3 separate regions of the Mus musculus genome follow, and all the other regions are reported to be linked to region 3. The links are microRNA targets in miRTarBase. Many come from high-throughput screens and were not tested one by one. Region 3 holds a microRNA gene; each other region holds the end of a gene's coding sequence. Distances are between the middles of the regions.

The links. The annotated mature microRNA mmu-miR-1967 reads UGAGGAUCCUGGGGAGAAGAUGC and lies in region 3 at 2,557-2,579, opposite strand. An mRNA with a match to its seed (bases 2 to 7 or 8) in the 3' UTR can be bound and repressed. Matches are read on the target gene's strand: a 7mer-m8 pairs with bases 2 to 8, a 7mer-A1 pairs with bases 2 to 7 and ends in A, and an 8mer does both.
Region 1: miRTarBase lists Il27ra as a target of mmu-miR-1967. Seed matches in the 3' UTR shown: 7mer-m8 at 5,054-5,060.
Region 2: miRTarBase lists Mfsd4a as a target of mmu-miR-1967. Seed matches in the 3' UTR shown: 7mer-m8 at 4,793-4,799 and 8mer at 4,384-4,391.

What each region holds. Positions count from the first base shown.
Region 1 is chr8:84,025,631-84,031,523 of GRCm38, forward strand. It overlaps Il27ra (interleukin 27 receptor, alpha), which reads right to left. Exons shown (of 14, transcript NM_016671.3): 12 at 5,889-5,893; 13 at 5,683-5,791; 14 at 4,656-5,562. The coding sequence ends at 5,401. Palm3 (paralemmin 3) reads left to right here. Exons shown (of 7, transcript NM_028877.1): 3 at 564-644; 4 at 1,119-1,261; 5 at 1,370-1,454; 6 at 2,496-2,541; 7 at 2,676-4,665. The coding sequence ends at 4,435. Among named protein-coding and RNA genes, the nearest start is that of Palm3, 7.1 kb to the left of the region's middle.
Region 2 is chr1:132,033,417-132,039,404 of GRCm38, forward strand. Mfsd4a (major facilitator superfamily domain containing 4A) reads right to left here. Exons shown (of 10, transcript NM_001114662.1): 10 at 3,367-5,557. The coding sequence ends at 5,502. Among named protein-coding and RNA genes, the nearest start is that of Elk4, 29 kb to the left of the region's middle.
Region 3 is chr8:124,018,923-124,025,266 of GRCm38, reverse strand. It overlaps Mir1967 (microRNA 1967), which reads right to left and starts at 2,626; the gene lies at 2,545-2,626. It overlaps Taf5l (TATA-box binding protein associated factor 5 like), which reads left to right and starts at 3,870. Exons shown (of 5, transcript NM_133966.3): 1 at 3,870-4,078. Urb2 (URB2 ribosome biogenesis 2 homolog (S. cerevisiae)) reads right to left here and starts at 3,770. Exons shown (of 10, transcript NM_001368414.1): 1 at 3,741-3,770; 2 at 1,669-1,807; 3 at 35-211. The coding sequence starts at 1,794.

The sequences.
Region 1 (5,893 bases), 40 Mb from region 3:
TTGTACCCTATCTCTGCGTTACCTCTATATATGCCTGAATCTCTCTGGATGTCTACCTCTGCACCCCCATTTTGGACTCCATCTCGCTAGCACCTTCTCTTTATCTAGATCAACACATCCCTGACCCCCCCCCCCCTTTTTAACGATTTTTTTTTTCCCAGCAGGGTTTCTGTAGCCCAAAGTAGCCTCTAATTGGCTACTCCCTTTCTAGTCCAAGCTGGCCTGGAACTCATGGAGATCGTCCTACTGAGTCTTGGGGTTACCAAGCGCGTTCGCCTCGCCTGGCCATTCTCCTTCCTATCTTAGAAGTGCAAAACCCTAGTCCCCATCTCTAGGCCCCGCCTCCACGCCCCCATTTGCGGACCACCATTGGGCGTGGGCCTGGCTTCCGCAGCATGAGGGCGCGGCCGCCTGGTCCTGCCCCGCCCCGCCCCTCTCGCTGCTGAGTCAGCGCTCTGCAGCCCCCGCCCGCGGGAGGACGCCCCGGGAGTCCCGGGAGCCCCGAGGAGGCGGGCGGAGGGCGGCCCTGGACTAGCCCGCAGCTCTGGGTCGTGTGTGCGCAGGAGAAGCGGCGGCTGCAGGAGGAGATCGGCGCCGCGCGTCGCGAGCTGGAGGAGGAGAAACTCCGCGTGGAGCGGCTCAAGGTTGGGGGCTCCTATCCAGTCCGGGGAAGTGAAGTGGGGTGTCTGTGTGAGTCCGGCTGAAAGACAATAGGAACCTCTGACTAATTTGGGAAGGGGGAGATGGAGAGGAGGCAGGCGAAAGGTAGCCATGGAGACAGCTGTCCCACTCTGGAAGAGTATGGGGGGCGGGGGTGGAGGATGGTGGTGAGCTTCATCCCAGTTTGGTGGTGATGAGAGGAACCTGAGGCCAACGTTGGGGTGGAGAGGGGCACATTGAGAGGTCTTTCCGAGCCTAGCAGAGCCAGTCGACTGGGCAGGCTGGAAGGATAATGGTTGCATGCCTCTGCTTGGGAAGGCTGTATGCTGGCATGGTGTTGGGGTACGAGATATGGACATGTCTCCCATCCTGATGGATGCGCCCTCTGGGTGGTTGCAAGCAATGGGTGGGGAGGTAGGCTTCCTGTGGCTAGTCCCGGACTCTCGTTCCATACCCAGAGGAAATCTCTCCGAGAACGTTGGCTCATGGACGGGGCAGCTGAAGGGCCAGAACGGCCGGAGGAACCCGCCTCCAAGGACCCACAGTCGCCTGAGGGACAGGCCCAGGCTCGAATTCGCAACCTGGAAGACAGTTTGTTTTCGTGAGTTGAGAATCCCTGATTTTGAGCCATGCCCCAGCCTTTAGCAGCTCTAAGAAATGGAGCAGGTTTGGTCCATTCCGGCTTCCAGCAGCCTCCTTTCTCCCTCAGACTCCAGTCACAGCTACAGCTGTTGCAAAGTGCGTCCACAGGTGCTCAACACAGACCTGCTGGTAGGCCCGCCTGGCGCAGAGAGGTGAGCAGGGCCTGAAAGAGGTGGAGAGGAGGGGGCTGTGGTCAGCAGGGTTAGAACAGGACACAGCGGAAATGTGCTCTCTCAAAACGCAGCCTCTGCCTTGGTAGAGAATGGTAGGCAAACCCACTCACTGTTACTTTGTTCTGTGTTCTGTGCAAGTTGGTTGTCTTGGCTAGATCTTAGTTTGCTCATCCCTAAAGTAGGAATACCAACTCAGAAGTGCCTTTGGAAGGGCCAGTGAGATTATAATTGAAAGCAATTAGCCCAATCTCGAAGCCCGCGACCTTGAACTCGTGATCTCCCTGCTTCAGCTTTCCTTGTGGTAGGATTACCGGTTCCTACCACCAAGCCTTGATCACAAAGGGACTTAGTGTGCATGCAGGTGTGTGAATACAGGTGTGTGCAGCTGCCCCATCGTCTTTCTTCACATCTTTCCTTCACTCCACGCTGGCCACATTGTCTCTCTTCTATTATTCCCTTTAACGTCTGGCTCACCCGGGCAGTACTGTAGCCTTAGCCTCGAACAATGGTCTCCAACTCAGCACTCTGGACAGGGCACACCCTTCTCGGCAAGCCTCTTGAAGCCACGCCCAGCTCAGTCTCTAGGGGAAACCTCCTCACCCTAGACCTCTCTTCCTTTTCACCGCTTTGTTCTCTCCCCTTAACTATTTGCAAACGCGGCTTATTTATTTGTTGTTATGTCTATTACTTACCTCCTCCCATTGGAACTTAAAGTCTGATTGCATCAGGTCTTTACAGGTTGAGGATGTGGTTCAACAGCAATATTGCAATAACCTAGTGTGGCCCAGGGCTTGGGTTCCATCCCAAGTATTCCTTCCCCCAAATACTTTATACTCACCTCAGAAGCTGTCCACGCAAGCACTAACATGATATACTGTTAACATGATATACTTTATAGTCACCTCAGAAGCTGTCCATGCAAGCACTAACATGATATACTGTTTAAGCGGGTGGGGCACAAACATACCTGGGAAGTACAACCTGGGACCAATTTTGACCTTGTCTCTATTCTCCTTGCAGGGTCCCCGTCCTCTCTCTCAGTCTGCCATGGAAGCAGCTCCTACCGGTAAGCATTGGAGTCCCCAAGACCTGGGGTACCGTCACCACCAGATCATGTGACTCAAAAGAATCTGGGGTAAGGGTCCTGTTATTCCCCCATCATCCTGACCTCCCTGTCCCGTCCTCCCTTGATTCCCCCAGCCCCGACTGATGTGGACAAGCGAACTTCCCTGCCAGATGCTCCAGTGGGCATGTCCCCTGAGTCTCCTTCTGATCCCAGGGAGGAGTCGATTGCGGTTCTACCAGCCTCGAGGCCATCCACTGAAGCTATAGGGACATCTTCAGAAGCCAATGGCCCCTGCCCTGGGCACAGCCCTCTCCCAGAGCAGCTGAGTCTAGGGGTGTCGAGTGTCACTAAGGCCAAAGGAGATGGTGCAGTGGAGGTGGTTTGGGCTGGGCTTAGAGCCACTGAGAACAGTGCCACAGGCCCCACAGATGTGGAGCTGGAGGCTAAGGTGGAAGAAGTGGTTCTGGAGGCCATTGGGGCCAGGCAGGGCACCAGCAGCCCTGAGCTCCCCACTTGGGTGAAGGAGGGCAGGGGTGTAGTGGAAGTGGTCTGGGAGGGGCTGGGAGGCAGGGATCTTGATGTCACAGGGGAGTCAGGCAGGGATGCAGAGGCCACACACACCAGTTCCAGGAGACTCCAGGAGCAATTTGAGGCTGAAACTTGCAGAAAAGAAGAAGGTGCTTCCAGAGATAGTCTTGAGGGTGTTGGGCAGGGAGGTCCTGGAGTAGAGGAGGGATCCTTCATTTGGGTGGAGAGAGTGGCCCTCAGCGAAGACTGGGAGGAGATTTTGATGGAGGGTTTGGAAGCACCGCAGGGGGCAGGGTCTGCAGGAGAACCTGAGGCTTTGATTGGAGCACAGCCCAGAGGAGGTGAAGCGTCCTGGGAGGTAGAGAAGAGAGAAGTAGAGAAAGTTGAGGGCATAGAAGAGAAGGGAAGGGCAGAAAAGCTCGGGGCAGAGAGGGAGGATGGTGTAGCTGTGCTGCCAGATGAGACCCAGGGAAGAGAGGAAAACGAGGCAGAAAAGGTAGAGAGAAAAGACAGTGAGGGCCCCTTTCCAGCAGAGATAGCAACAGATGAGGAAAAGTGGGAGGTGAAAACGACGGAAGGTGAAGAGTCGTTGGAAGTAGAAAAGGGAGGTGAGGCAGAGCCGGTCACCACTGAGAAGCCATTGGTGACAGAAAAAAAGCCAGAGGGCTCACTGGAGACAGAGAGAAAAGGAAGTGAGATGCCATTGGACCAGGAGAAAGATGGTGAGGGCTCATTGGACAGAGAATCAAAAACAACTGAGATACTATTGGATGGAGAGATAGGAGATAAGAGCTCATTGGATGAAACTAAAGGAAGCAAGAAACTATTAGATGAGAAGACAGGAGGTGAGGGCTCATTGGATGAAGAAGCTGAAGGAAGTAAGAAACTATTGGACAGGGAGGCAGATGGCATCGAGCCATTCTCTGAGGTGGACAAGACCTCAGGCGCCAAGGATGATGTGAGTCCAGAAGAGCAAGGCAAAGCCAACGAAGGAGCAGAGTTCCAGGCGGAGGATGCCAGCCCACCAGGAGCCACTGTTTGTGTCCAGGACGAGCCCAGGTCAGAGGAGCAAGGACAGCAAGAACCAGAGAAGCAAGAAGGCCTGGTAGAAGGGGCAGCCAGTAAGCCTGAGCCCTGTACTGAGCGAGAGGGTCCCCCAGGGGATGCTACCCTGCTCCTAGCTGAGACCCCAGCCCCGGAGCAGCCTGTGGAAAGCCAGCCACTGCTCCATCAGGAAGCGTCCAGCACTAACCCTGGTGACCACCCTGCACCTACGTATGCCCCTGCCCAGCAGCTTGAGCTGGCTGAGGCCAAAGAAGCTAGTGGTCCCAAGCAGAAGACGTGCCAGTGTTGTGTGGTCATGTGAGCCTACGCCTGCCGCCAGCACCCCACTCCTCCTCTCACAGCTACCTCGCTGCCTGGCACCCAGCAGAAGGTCCCAGGCATAGACAGGGTACCACAGGACTGGTAGTGGCACCCAGGAGCCGGAGGGCCCTGTGCTTTTAGATTCCCTGCCCACTGCCTGTGGCCCTGACTCCCTTCTGCAATGAAGCCTTTATACTTGAAAATTAAATGTTAAGGCACTCTGGCTTTAAGAAAAAAAAGATTTATTTATTAATTTATTTTTATTTATTTATTTATTTTTATTTTATGCGTGTGTTTTTCGGTGCATAAGTAACCATGTGTGTGCAGGGCTCACAGAAGCCAGAAGAGGGCATTGGATTCCTTGGACCTGGAGTTACAGGTGATTCTGAGCTGCCCTGTGGGTGCTGGAAACTGAACGTGTGTCCTTTGCAAGGGCAGGGAACCAAACTTTGGTCTACTGCAAGAAAACACAGGCTCTTAACCACTTCAGGCCCTTGAATGTGTCTTTCGAGTCACCACCTCATAGCCTGCCTGGTAGTTATTCTTACTAGAATCAAAAGTTATGACTCGATGAAGTGACGCACACCTGTAATCCCAGCTCTGGGGATGCTGCAGCAGGGAGGATCACAAGTTCGAGGCCAGCCTTGGCTACCTAGCAAGCCTGTGACACAAGGAGGAAATAACAACGATGGGGTTGAGGCTGTGAGCTCACTGATTCTTCTGCAGTAACAAACAGATGCCCAAGACCCAGAGGCAAGGAAAGCAAAAGCTGGTTGGGCGGGAGGCGGCACACTCATTTCTTCTCAGTCCTTGGAAGGCAAAACCAGGTGAGTCTTGGTGAGTTCCAGGCCAGCCTGGTTGTTATATCAAGTTCCAGGCCAGCCATAGTGAGATCCTGTCTCAAAAATCTAAAAATACAAAAACGTCTAGCCCAAGATAGGGGTACAGCCCCTAGCCGTAAGCAGATCAGACTAGAAGGCCCAGCTCCTCTGGTGTGGGCAGGAAGTGTTTCTCATACCCAGAGTAAATTGGGGCAGAGGCTTTAGGGGACTCCACAACAGGCTGTAGCTCCACTTCCTCCACCTCCAGGATGGGTCCGTCCTTGGGCGGTTGGGGCAGGCTCACCTCCTGGGGAGATGGAAGCTTGAAACTCAGTGCTCCTCCCCTCCCACTTGCCCCAGCATCCTCCAGTTGGAGAGTGGTGCTCCCAGTTAGAGAGTGGTGCTCCCAGGGGTGCCGTTTTCTCACCTTGATGTAAGGTTGCCCAGAATTGCTGTTGGCAGGATCAGGAACCCTCTCCCAGATCCACTGGGGAAGCAACTTGTGCCGCCAGTGTAAGCACCTGGCCTGTAGGCACCTGGTGGCAAACATATTGCTAGAATCCATGAACTTTCTGAGCCCTGAGGCCACCCAGCCAAGGCCTAGCTGCCAAAGCCCATGTCTGGAAGCCTTACCTGGT
Region 2 (5,988 bases), not on the chromosome of region 3:
CATCAGAGAGCGCAGGCTCATTCCAGATGAAAGTACCAAGAGCATACCAGATGGCTGGTGGCAGGACACAGGCCCTGGGAGTGTCTCTTTGGCTGGTGCTTGACCACACCGTTGAGCCAATGAAGGGCTTTCCTGGGAATCTGCTCAAATGCATTACCTAAGAACACTAATCTTAGAGGAGCTGAGAAATATGGTCTTGCTTTTTGCAGTCACAGAGTGCATTTTTGAATACCCAAAGCTCCAGGTCCTTCGGTGGAAAAGCCTGCCACCATTTCGGCCTTTCCAACTGTTGGCACTAGTTTGGCGAAGCGCACTGACTGCAGGTACCATTCCATCTGTGTTTCATAGAGGCGTCTAATGGCCACCATCCTCACACTGGGCTCTTTGGGCTTTATTAGGTAGGAGACAATGTTGAGTGTCCCAGGATCACACTCTGATCATCACAGTATACCTGCCACTGAAGGAATCATGAAGTGACTTCATCGGAGTCACTCAGAAGTACAGTGATGTGTCATAGAACTGTCACAGAAGTAAAGACTTCAGCAGCTGTGGAGGTTCCTAGCAGATGCAGCCATGGTACTGGATTGTGAGTGTTGTTCCCATATGTTTTGAACACACTGGTCATTTACCTAAGCCCCTCTCCCATCTAGCCCAGTGTTTGTTAGTCCTGTTAATCTCTCACAAGCACTGATGTCTTCTTAAGATGCTCTTCCCATACCTTCCAGGAAGCCACTTTGACTGTTGAATGGGTTCCTACCTCTGGCTTCTAATTTTTTACTACATCAGTTCTTTTTCTAAACCCCTAGGTTTTGAAGAACCCCCAGGCTCGATCTCTCAGTCCCTGCAACCACTAACTAGGAGATTTCATTCCTTGTCTCTGAACACTGTAAGCTATATAACTTCTCTTTAAACTCTGGCTACCAAGTCTAGCAGCTGGCTTGATATCCAGGATAGCATCATATACTGATGTGCAGAACTGTTTTTTTTAAAGATATGGCCTCAGGCTTGCAAGATGGCTCAGTTAAGAGCACTGACTGCTCTTCCAGAGGTCCTGAGTTCAATTCCCAGCAACCACATGGTGGCTCACAACCGTCTGTAATGAGATCTGTTGCCCTCTTCTGGTGTGTCTGAAGAGAGCTACAGTGTACCCATAGGTTGGGAACAGCTGCTCTTCCCAAAGATGGGAGGGCGAAACAGAAGAATCCACCAGAAGTGAGCTTGGCTGTGCAGCAGCGAAGAACTCTTCTCAGACAAGATGGAAAGGCAGGGGCCAACACCTCAAGTTGTCCCCTGACCTCTACAGGCATGGAATAACATGTATGAGTTACATAAACCTGAGTTTACTTCACATGTCCTTTCCCATGATACATCTGATCTTCATCATATTCGTTCAATCATGCATAGGCACGGTGGTAAGTAGGGTTTTTCCCTAAGACTTCATTTGTAGGGCATAGTTTGCCTTATTGTCTATGTTCCCCAAACCAGTTTAGGCTGGATGAGCCCACATTTCCAGATCCCAAGGTGTTTCAGGATGTGTTTGGCCACAGAAGGGAAGTTACTAAGGATGGCTAGGGCGCTCCAGGTTAGAGTTACCAGTTGCTTTATTTAAGAAGGGGTGTGCAGCCTGATGTTGGCAGGGTCTCAGCTTGTTAAGTACTGTATGTATAGCCAAGTAGAGTCTTCCCTGTGCTTGCCTACCTCAAAATGCCTCACACCTGGGCATAGGTCAGATGCCTTCAGCTTGAGACTGGCACCCTTCTCTTATACTCAGTCCATCAGCAAATTCTGACAGACCTTCCAACTGAATTCGCCCTCACCATTTCCACTGCTTCCAGCATGGTCCAAGTCACTGTCACCTCTCCAGCCCTGCAGTGTATCTGAGCCTACCTCAGCCCCACTGTCTTCAAACAGCCAGAGTAACGGTTTTAAATGTGTGAACCGTGCCATGTGACAGTCTGTTGGTAAGCTCACATCCCCCAGAAAAATCCACATTCATGCCACCCTGTTTCTTGCCACTGTCTGCCTGCTTTGCAGTTTGTCCAGACCAGTCTGCCAGCTGCTCCTCAGATTCTATGGAACATTCCAGTTCAAGGCCCTTCCCCTTGCTGTAGCCTCTACCTGGCAGGAATATTCTCAGGTACCCACCCGCCTGGCTTTCTCCTGTGTAGCACATGTCCTCTTGTTAAGATAGCCCGAACATCTGCCGTTCCCACGCCCACCCCTGCTGCTTCTTACAGTACTCTATCATCCTATAACATGTTATATATTTACTTGCTGTTTCTATGGCTTTGACCTTGAAGTCTCTGTGAGGCAGGGACTTCTCATTCATTGCTGAAACTGTACCTGAGCCTCTGCTTTGAACATGGTGGCTGTTTGATCTTTTTTTTTTTAATGTGTAAACGCAATCTCTGTAAGAAACTTGTGAGCTGAGGCTATCGCTCATGGGTAGAGTGCTTGCCTCCCTGGTGTACTCTAAAGTGGATCCCCAGGTGCACACAGGCTGGCCTTGGTGCTGCATGCTTGTCATCCTAGCACCTGGGGTGTGGAAATAGGAAAATCGGGAGTCCAAGATCATCTGAACTACATGGCATCTAGTCTACCTTGGGCAATGTAAAACCCATTTCAAAAAGACAAAACGAATGAATAACAACAAAACAAATGAACCCTTTGTGTCACTATACCTTCCTTTAAATGTGTGCAAGGTATGCTGGTGGCTTAGATCCCCAAGTCTGCAGAAGGAATCTGGGAACAGGGAGACATCACAACACTCTTGTTTTGTTTTGTTTTGTTTTGTTTTCGAGACAGAGTTTCTCTGTATAGCCCTGGCTGTCCTGGAACTCACTTTGTAGACCAGGCTGGTCTCGAACTCAGAAATCCGCCTGCCTCTGCCTCCCGAGTGCTGGGATTAAAGGCGTGCGCCACCACTGCCCGGCTTTTTTCTTTTTTTTTTTTTCTTTTTATTTTTTTTATTTATTTTTTTTTGTTTTGTTTTGTTTTTTTACAACACTCTTGATAGCTAGAAGTGTGGCTTAGTGGTGAGTCTTGCCTAGAATGCTTGAAACCCCAGGTACCACCCCTAGCCCTGCCCCAAGTTCCAAAGGTGTACATATATACATACATACATATACACATACATAACATACATACATACATACATACATACATACATACATACATAGTTGTCATGTGTGTATCTTATATTGGGTGTGTGTGTGTGTGTGTGTGTTTGTGTGTGTGTGTGTGCACAAGAGTGTGTGCATGTGCGTCACGTGAACCTCTAAGAGAGACCTGTCTTTGGGGAGCGTTAGACCATTTGATCTTCAGTATAAAGGGTCGACTGCCCTTCAAGATGGATAACACACTTACTAGGTTTAAAATATTTTATTTTAGGAAAGTATGAGATTCTTTTGAGTTTTCTATATTAACACATCAATCATCACCAATGTAGGTATAAGCAGTGATTCTTCTTTCTAGATCTGTATAAAAAGGATGTTTTCTTGAAAAAAAAACTACAAGAAAAATACAACCACTTTCTCTTTGCCCAGGTCAGTCACCATAGTTAGATTGCCCAGCTAGATTTTAATATGGCTAGTATGAGGTACTTTTCAATGAATTTATAAATATAGTTAAAAGGATTTGCTTAGGCCATCGGCGTTTCAAAGTTAAATTTGACTTAAAGTTTGTACCAAATGGAGATGACGTCTAAGCTGCGTATGAGGTGTTACAAAGAATAGAAGTAAAACCATGAACATTTGGAAGGCAGGTCCCATGTAGGGCATGCAGCAGATGCTCCACACACTCTCAGTTCTCTCAGAATTCCTGTGAGGTAGGGTGCTTTTAGAAATGCCATCATACTGGTAAAAACAAGCAAGGCTGGAGGTGGGGGATGGGGGGCTTCTGGAGTCACAGCTAGAAGGCTGATAACCTGGCCCACCTCTGCTCTGCTGGTGTCTAGTGTGTGAACTACAGCCCTTGGGACCATGAGTCCATGCTCACATGAACACATGTATATGCACAGAGAATGTACAGATTAAACCAATGACTGTAACAGGACATTTGTTCCTCCTAGAGACTTCCCAGAGACAAATCATGTCATGTCGCTGATGCCAGAAGCCTTGCACCCAGCCCTGCCCGGGCTGGTGAGCCGCCTTCTTGTATTCTCTGGATTACTAACCTACCTTCTGTATAGAAGAGGGCACTCCTGACAGACACTGGTTTCTGCATACTGACACTGCTCTCTGTATACTGCATGGCTTGAATTATATAGTAGTCCTAGATTTATATGGGAGGGAGGGAGGGCCTTGACACAGTATAAAATTTTCATCTATAAAAGGTATAAAATACCAAATGAGCTATTTTTTTAAAAAAAATTCTTCTGTACCTTGAGGATCTCAGTAAAGAACAACAGACTGTCCATTTCATTCTCCCTGCACTTTCTGAACCAACTAGCATTGCTCGTTAGCAGAAAGACGCTGGAAACCCATCTGTTCCCAGGGGCACGGCTTTCACCATTTCTGGGCCATGGCTGACCTTGGACTACCAGCAGGCTGTCACAGAGATCTGAGAGGAGGAGCCCAGCAGTATTCTGTCACAGAAATGTCACCACCTTGGTGCCATGGACACTCCTGAGCAGCATCTGAGCTGCTTCTTGGGCTCAGGAGCATCTGCCATGTAAAATTAGAAAGTGAGGTTTGGAGAATTACCTTTGTTTAGTTACAATTTTTTTTTTTTTTTTAAAGCTAGGTAGTGGCAGTACACACCTTTAATCCCAGCACTTGAGAGGCAGAGGCAGGAGGATCTTTGTGAGTTTGAGGCTAGCCTGGTCTATAGAGTGAATTCCAGGATAGCCTGGTCTACAGAATGTGTTCTGGGACAGCTGGGGCTACCCAGAGAAATACCATCTCAATAATAATAAAAATAATAATTTAAGTCTTTGTCATGCCTACTAGCTCTCAAAATGAAAATTTAACAGTCAACTTTCTAAAGCTTGTCTGAGTTAGCCCAATGCAACACTGACTAGGGTCTCAAAGCAAGATTCAACATTTCCTTTGTTGTCTTAGGACACAAATAAACTGATTTCTGCAGGACGGATGTGAGGGACTTGGGACCATGGGTAAGTGAAGAACACATAAATCTTTTTTAACATGCCAGAGGGGCTTGATTGATTTAAAATATATCTACACCTAGCAGTGGTTAATGACTTAGGATTTTAGCATGTTTTTCAAACTTCAACTAAACGTGATCTCAAACCCAGAGTTTAGCCCATGCGTGGGGTGGTGTGTGGAGAGGTGTGTGCGGGCTGTCTTTCATCCTCCTGTCTGGTTGTCAGGACAACAAGTCCGGACCAGAGAGGAAGATAACTAAAGTGTCAGGCAGGTGCTCGATTTGTCCAGGGAAGACTCAGGGAAGGAAGACACAAGCAAGAGCAGCCTCCTGTGCAACCCTGGCTTCCTGTGTCAGTCTGGTCACCCTGTGGCTCAGGAGCTGAGCTCTTCAGCTCTTCACCTCTGGTAGCACTCAGGGTTCTCCACACCAAGGGCTTTGTCTTGGGTAAGAACTACAAAAGAAAACATAAACAACACTGGTAGCAAATGTGGGCGGCCCCAGCTTCCTCTGCAGCATTTAGCTCTTGAGAGCAAGCAAGCTGTATGCTTTTCTGCTAGTCTAGCTCTAGGTGCACTAGGGCACACGTACAGCCACAGTCTCATAGGTGCACACATGTATGTGTGTGCGCTCAAGAGCACACGCCACACACACACACACACACACACAATACACACACGGCACTGTGGGAAGTCAGATCAAGATCAAGTTCTGGTGAAGTGCTAATAGAGACAGTGAGACTGATATCTAGGGCTGGGGGAAAAAAACTGTTTGTCTCCCATAAGAAAGGAACATTTGATATTCACAATCATCATCATCATCACCACCACCATCATCATCATCTCTTCCTCTTCCCCCTCTTCCTCTTCATTTTCTTCAAGGGCA
Region 3 (6,344 bases):
CACAGGTCAACAGAAGAGACCGTGACTCACTTACCTTGACAAGGGAGAGCTGGAGATTTACAGTCTTCCCATCCTTAAGGAGGTTCTGCAATTTCTTACTATGTAGAATGTTATCTACATAGATCCAGAGCCTTTCAACAATATCTTCCTGCAGTTCAAGCTTTTTCTTATAAAATGCAACCAATGACTGCCTTGCCCAATCAAGTAAAACCTGGATTTATAGAAAGCATTTATAGAAAACATATTCTGTAAATGAAGTTCTTACATGAAAGATTTTCACCCAATCATGACCAAATTCTACTGCATGAAAAACAAAAACGATTTCCTGTTAAAAGTGTATCTGCAGTATCAGTTACCACTGAGGTTGAAGCACTCACTGCAGGAGCAGCACTTCAGTCTACAAGTTCAAGATGAGACTGAGCAACACAGCAAGATCCTATCTGAAACCGATAGGCTGAATATGATTACACACGCTATTAATATCACTACTTGGAAGCTGAGGCCAAAAGGTCTCAATTCAATGGCAGCATGACAGGTATAGTGAAAGTATTTTTTTTAATCCTCACTTGTGTTAACATTATAATAATGTTTTGAAATCTTGAAATGTTTATTAAGGAAAAACAATGATGTCTTCATCTGGCCTCAAAGAAAAGTTTCAATAAAATTAACATTATTCAATGGTCTTTTCTAAGAGAAACACATAAATATCCACAATGTCCACAGAAGCAATCATATATGCAAATCAAATGGCAATGAGGGATAATTAAAGAAAAAAAGGAATGAGAATCAGAACATTCGGACATGTGTGCTCATTTTCCCAAGACAAGTAACTTCTAAGTCTCCCTCATTCAGGAAACACAGCCAAGGGGAACGGATGCACAAGTGTCTATGGGAGAAAAGGGCTTTGGACACATGCAGTTTCCATTCCTGTAACAGTGTTTTCTCAAGCACAATACACTGAGAAAAGGTGATGCTTCAGCTCGCAGAGCTGTGTGTATGAGTCTTCTGTGTGTGCCATATGTGTGAGATCGTGAAGATGGTGGTGGTGATGCTGACGATAAGAAAGCCAGGGCCTCAGGTGTGCTGGACAAACACTGGACTGAGTTGCCCTTGCTCACTTCTACTCTGCAGCACTGTCCGTAGGTGTGACAGACGAGCTGGGCTCTCGCTCAAGCCTACCAGGATTACCCTTTTGTTTCATGTTGTGCAGCGCTGACCAAGGAACTGCCTAGCTGTCAAGATGACTCAAACACGTAGTAGGTGTGGACACTGACAGGTAAGCTAACTGTTCTGCAAACCACACCTCGTCACTTCTCTCACAATTATAATACAGTCTGATACCAGCACTGGATGGAGGCCAGCCCTATTCCATGAGCTTGTCATCCTACCACAGCTGCACTGCCTACTTTTTAGCCACAGCAACTTAAGAAATCCCAATAGAACATCATAACTGGTACCTACCTGCTTCTAGCTTGCCCTCAGACTAGCACTTTCCAACTTCTCAACTTCCCGCCTAGCAATCCAAAAGCCCCACTGCTTCTTCACTGACAGTGACTGCAAATCAAGTTTTCTCCCCAACATGTCTTCTAATCTTTTAAATGTTAATATCCAAGCTGTACATGAAATTATTTTAGATCATAAAACGTACAAGTTCTACGTTAAACTTACTTGTTCTTTATTTGGTAGAAAGCACTGATGGGAAATCCAAGCAAAGTGAGCTAATTTTAGTTTATCTTCCCAGGAAGTTGTCTTGCTTTTAAGTTTAAAGGAAATACCAGAATAAACAGCAGCCATTGCTACACGTCTTCTACAATTAAAAAAGGAAAATAGTATTATAATAAGGCCTAACTGAACAGACACCAGAAAATGGACAGTATCTTTTAAAAAGAAAATTTTTTATGTATATGTGCCTGAGTATATGCACTCAGGAGTCCAAGAAGGTCAAAGAGGGCATTAGAGTCTTGGAGACTAGAGTACAGATAGTCATGAGTTAGGCGCCATGGAGGTACTGGGAACTGAGCCCAGGTCCTCTCTGAGAGCAGCTGTACTCCTAACTTTGAGCCACCTCTCCAACCCCTCCCTATATACCTTATTGGGTACAATTAGGAAGCAGAGGCCAGCCTAGGATACATGGTAAGATGTTGTGTCAAATATATAGTTAATTTGAAACTGGCTTTCATCAAAAGCAGGTAGACAATAGATTATAAGTACTCCTGCTGTGATCACACTTAGAGAATACAGGAATTCAATAAGGAGAAATCAAAGTGTGTAAATCACTCACAGGATGACAGTCACCATTCATGATTTAAGATCGAAAGAGATGGTTTAGCACAGCTTCAAAACTGTGTTGTGTAACAGGAGTAGCACTATTAAATAAGCAAAAAAGCAAGCAATACAGTACTTGAAGAAAATAATGCTTCTTGAAGTGAAAAAGAAATTAGGTGATGTGGCTGAGGAAACGGCTCAGCAGTAAAGAACACTTGTGACTCCTGTAGAGAGCCCGAGTCCAGTTCCTAGCACCCACAACGATCTGTAAGTCAATTTCCAGGGAATTCTGCATCTTCTCCCCAGGATCCTCATGAATGTCAGACAAAAGGAGCAAAGAGAGAAAGAAACAGAATTCAGGCATTAATTTCAATAAAAATGCTCTTACTTCTACTGTAACAGTAACTCGTCACACACAGCTACAGTAGACAAAAACCATATACAATCTTTAAAATCCCAAGTAACAAAGGAAAGGATACATTAACAACCTACACTTGCTATGAAACCCAGCTAAACCTTTTGAGTTTTTAAAAGTCATAAAGTTTGTTTCCATTATGGTAAACAACTTAGCTTAAACCCTGACAGAACATTCACCACGCTGCTGTGTTGAGGCAAGAGACTGTGCACTTTGGAAAGCTTACTACAGGCCTTCAGAACTGAGAGGCCTCCCTTCCTGTCCTCGCCCTCTGACTACCTCGGGAAGGGTTTAGGGCAGGGTTTTTCCACCTGCGGGTCACACGCCCACAAGATTGCAAACCAGGTATTTATTCACATTATGCTTCCAACAGTAGGAAAATTGCAATTATAATATAGCAACAAAATAACTTCATGGCGGGGGGGGGGGGGGCGTGTCACCACAACATGAACAAAGGGTTGCAGGATTAGGAAGGTTGAGAATCAATGTTCTAGGGGGCTGGAAAGATGACTCCGTGGTTAGGATTACTTACTGCTGTTCCAGAGAACCCAGGTTCGAGTCCCAATATCCCACATCTTGGCTCACAACCACCACTCCAGTTCTAGAGGAACGCCCCTCTTTTATCCTCTGCGGGTGTACATAAAACACCCATACAAATAAAAAGTTTGGTTTTGGTGGTGGTGGTGGTGGTGGTGGTGGTGGTGGTGGTGGTGGTGGAGGAGGAGGAGGAGGAGGAGGTGGTGGTTCTAGTTTATCATGATACCTTCAAATCCTACTACCTGGATCGGGGCTCCCTCGAGTCCGAGCTCCGTGTAGGAGATCGGGGTGCTCTCTAACGTGGGTCTCCCTCAGATCAAGGTTCTCTCAAGTGGAGCTCCTTCAGTTCGGGGTAAAGCAGTTCAGAACCTCAAGCAGGGTTCCATAGCGGGAACTCCCTCGGGCAGAGGCTCCTCCGATCCCGGCTCTCCAGCCGGTTCCCTCCTGTTAGGACTGGTGTCCGCATCCGCCAAACTGGCGCCTCGGCGCAGAGGAAACCCAAACTCTCCAACCGTCCGCTCACCTGGGACCTCCACGGCGGCGAGCCACATGTGAGGGAGGCGCTTCCGGCAGACGTTGACGCCAACGGCTCGGGGCGGGGAGGGGCGTCACGCAGACATCGCTAGAGGAGCGCCGAGCGCGCCCTGGCCGCGGCGGCGTCGCGCGTCCGCGGCCTAGCCCGGCGTGCCCGCTCCGTCAGGCGGTCATGGGGCGGCCACCGAGAACCGCGAGCGCGGGAGGACGTAGGGCGCGGGGACCCGGCTAGCCGGTCGTCGTACGGAGTCCTACGGCGGGCAACCGATACGGAAGCAGCCGGTGCCGGGGCGGCGGCGGGGCAGCGGGAGCCGCCTGGGATGTTCAGTGAGTGCGGGCGGGGCGCGGGACAGGGCGGGGGGGGGGAGGGGACGCGGGGGAGGGGCCTCGGGCGGGAGAGCGCGCGCGCGCGCGCCCGCCCCTGCGCAGTCCCGGCCCTGCTCGCGCGCGCGCGGGTCCGAGCGACCCCGCACGTGGCGGCCCCGGCTGCACGCGCCCGGAGACCCCGCGGCCCCGCCGGGCGCCCTCGCGCGGAGCCAACTGCGAGCTCACGAGGGCGCTCGGCGGAAGTGGGCAGCGGACGGAGGGCTCGCGGCTGCCGCGGGGAGACGCGGCCCCGCGGACCTCGCAGGCGCTGTGGCTCCGGCGTCGAGAGGTGAGTTTTCCCCTTCGCCGGGACCGGCAGGTGGAGGATAGCCTCGGGGCTCTGCCGGGAGTCCCGTCCAGTCCGACCCGCCCTATTAGAAAGTGAAGTAGGAAGGGAGTCTGCCTTTCTCCAGGTTACAGACTTTTTGGCTGTAACCTGGGGCTGAGTGTCACGGATGGAGTTGGTGACCGCAGAGACTTAGAGTTGCAAGCCGTGTAGCAGGCGAGCTTGCTGCCTCGGTTTCTTCTCCTGTAAAATGGGAGGGTAATTTAAGCCCAGACTCTGCTGGTAGTGGTGGCGCACTCCGTAATCCCCACACTCTGTAGGCTGAGGCAGAAAGATTGCTGCGAATTGTTGGCCATCCTGGTGTACGAAGTGAGTTCTGCACCAGTCTAAACCACAGAGTGAGACTTGGTCTAAATACACGTGCATACACACACACATACACATATGAGAGCCTTGTTTTATGAACTATAAAGCGAATATTAAATCAGAAAACCCAAAATGTCAGTTTGTGCCTTCAGTATTTGCCATCAGTAATAAATAAATTTGGTTCGTGTGTTTTGGGACAGTCTTCCAACTGTGAGATTTGTGTGTACTTCTGTCACTGAAGAGAGGCAAAAACCTCTTCTGACTACTTAGTAACTGGTTATTCTTTTTGTTACTCTGTCACAATCTATGAACAACATCTGGGGACAAAAGAAGGGGCTTTGCTTCTTTTCTGACTTGTTTTAGCTTGACCTTGTGTGACGCCAGCGCTGCTCATTGAACACTACTTGAAGTCACGGTTCCAGCCTTCCACGTAGCCAATCAGCATGTTAGCTGATTAACTTGCAGGCTCTCGTTGACATAAGCATCAGTGAGCGGTTGGCCCAGTGCTCCCCTGCAGTCCCGTATGGGATCAGTGGAGCATAGGGTGCAGGCTCAGACACTGTCCACGAGACTGCGTTCCCTCCCATTCAGGAACTGCGTGACTTTGGGCAAGTTGTCTGATAACTACAGGCTTCAGCGTCCCACCTGAAGCGTTTACCTGCCTAATAGAGTAAAAGCAGATAGTCTGTGGGAAGTACTTAAGATGGCGTCTTACTCAGCAGCGGAATGTTAAGTAAACATTAGGTATCAATGGTAGTGTAGGACTGGGATGGTGTTCCAGGCTCTGGGAGTAGAAGGGCAAAGACCAGGAAGCCATTTGAGGAAGAGATAGCCAGACAGAGAGAGCATCAAGGTTTGTTCACACCAGGTGAGCATTTGTAAGGGTGCCTCCTTAGGAGAGGGCTTGGCCAAAGCCTGCTAAAAGGTGAGGGAGCCTCAGTAAAGTGAAAATGGAAGTGGGTAAGCAGCATTCCAGCGAAACCTCGAAACCTCGAAACGACATGATGGGTTTTTTCACTGGGTTTCCTCCAGTGAAAGCAGTGAGTTTTAAACTGATGCATCACATTGGCTTTTTGGGAGGAAGGCCTGGAATGGAGTGGGGCTGGGTCGCAGTAGAGAGGCATCCCTGCTTCTGTACAGCTTCTAGCTTAGTACAGAAATTTTTAATCTGAATTTCAAAGCTAAGAGAACATTAAAACAAAACATGAAGGTACAGGTCGTTCTAGACAGTATTTCCTAAAAACCATGTTTTGGTGTGTGTCATGTACCAGGTTACAAAGCAGGTTTCTCTGAGAAGTCTCTCTGTGATTGGAGAATGTTATCCCATGTTGTGGTCTCTGCTCCAAGGCAGCCTTAGTTGTTGCTCCAACACCAAGATGGTCTTCAAGAGGGCATGCCAGGCTGGAGCAAGCCACTGGTGCTGGGTTGGAGCTTTTATTCAGTCTCACCAAATCAGTTATATAAACAAAACAACAAGAATTAATGTTCACTGAGGAGTACTGGGATCATGTCTCAGAGAACACTGTACAGATCGCACATAAAATACAAACTAATGTGGAAATGGAGGCTTGTTCT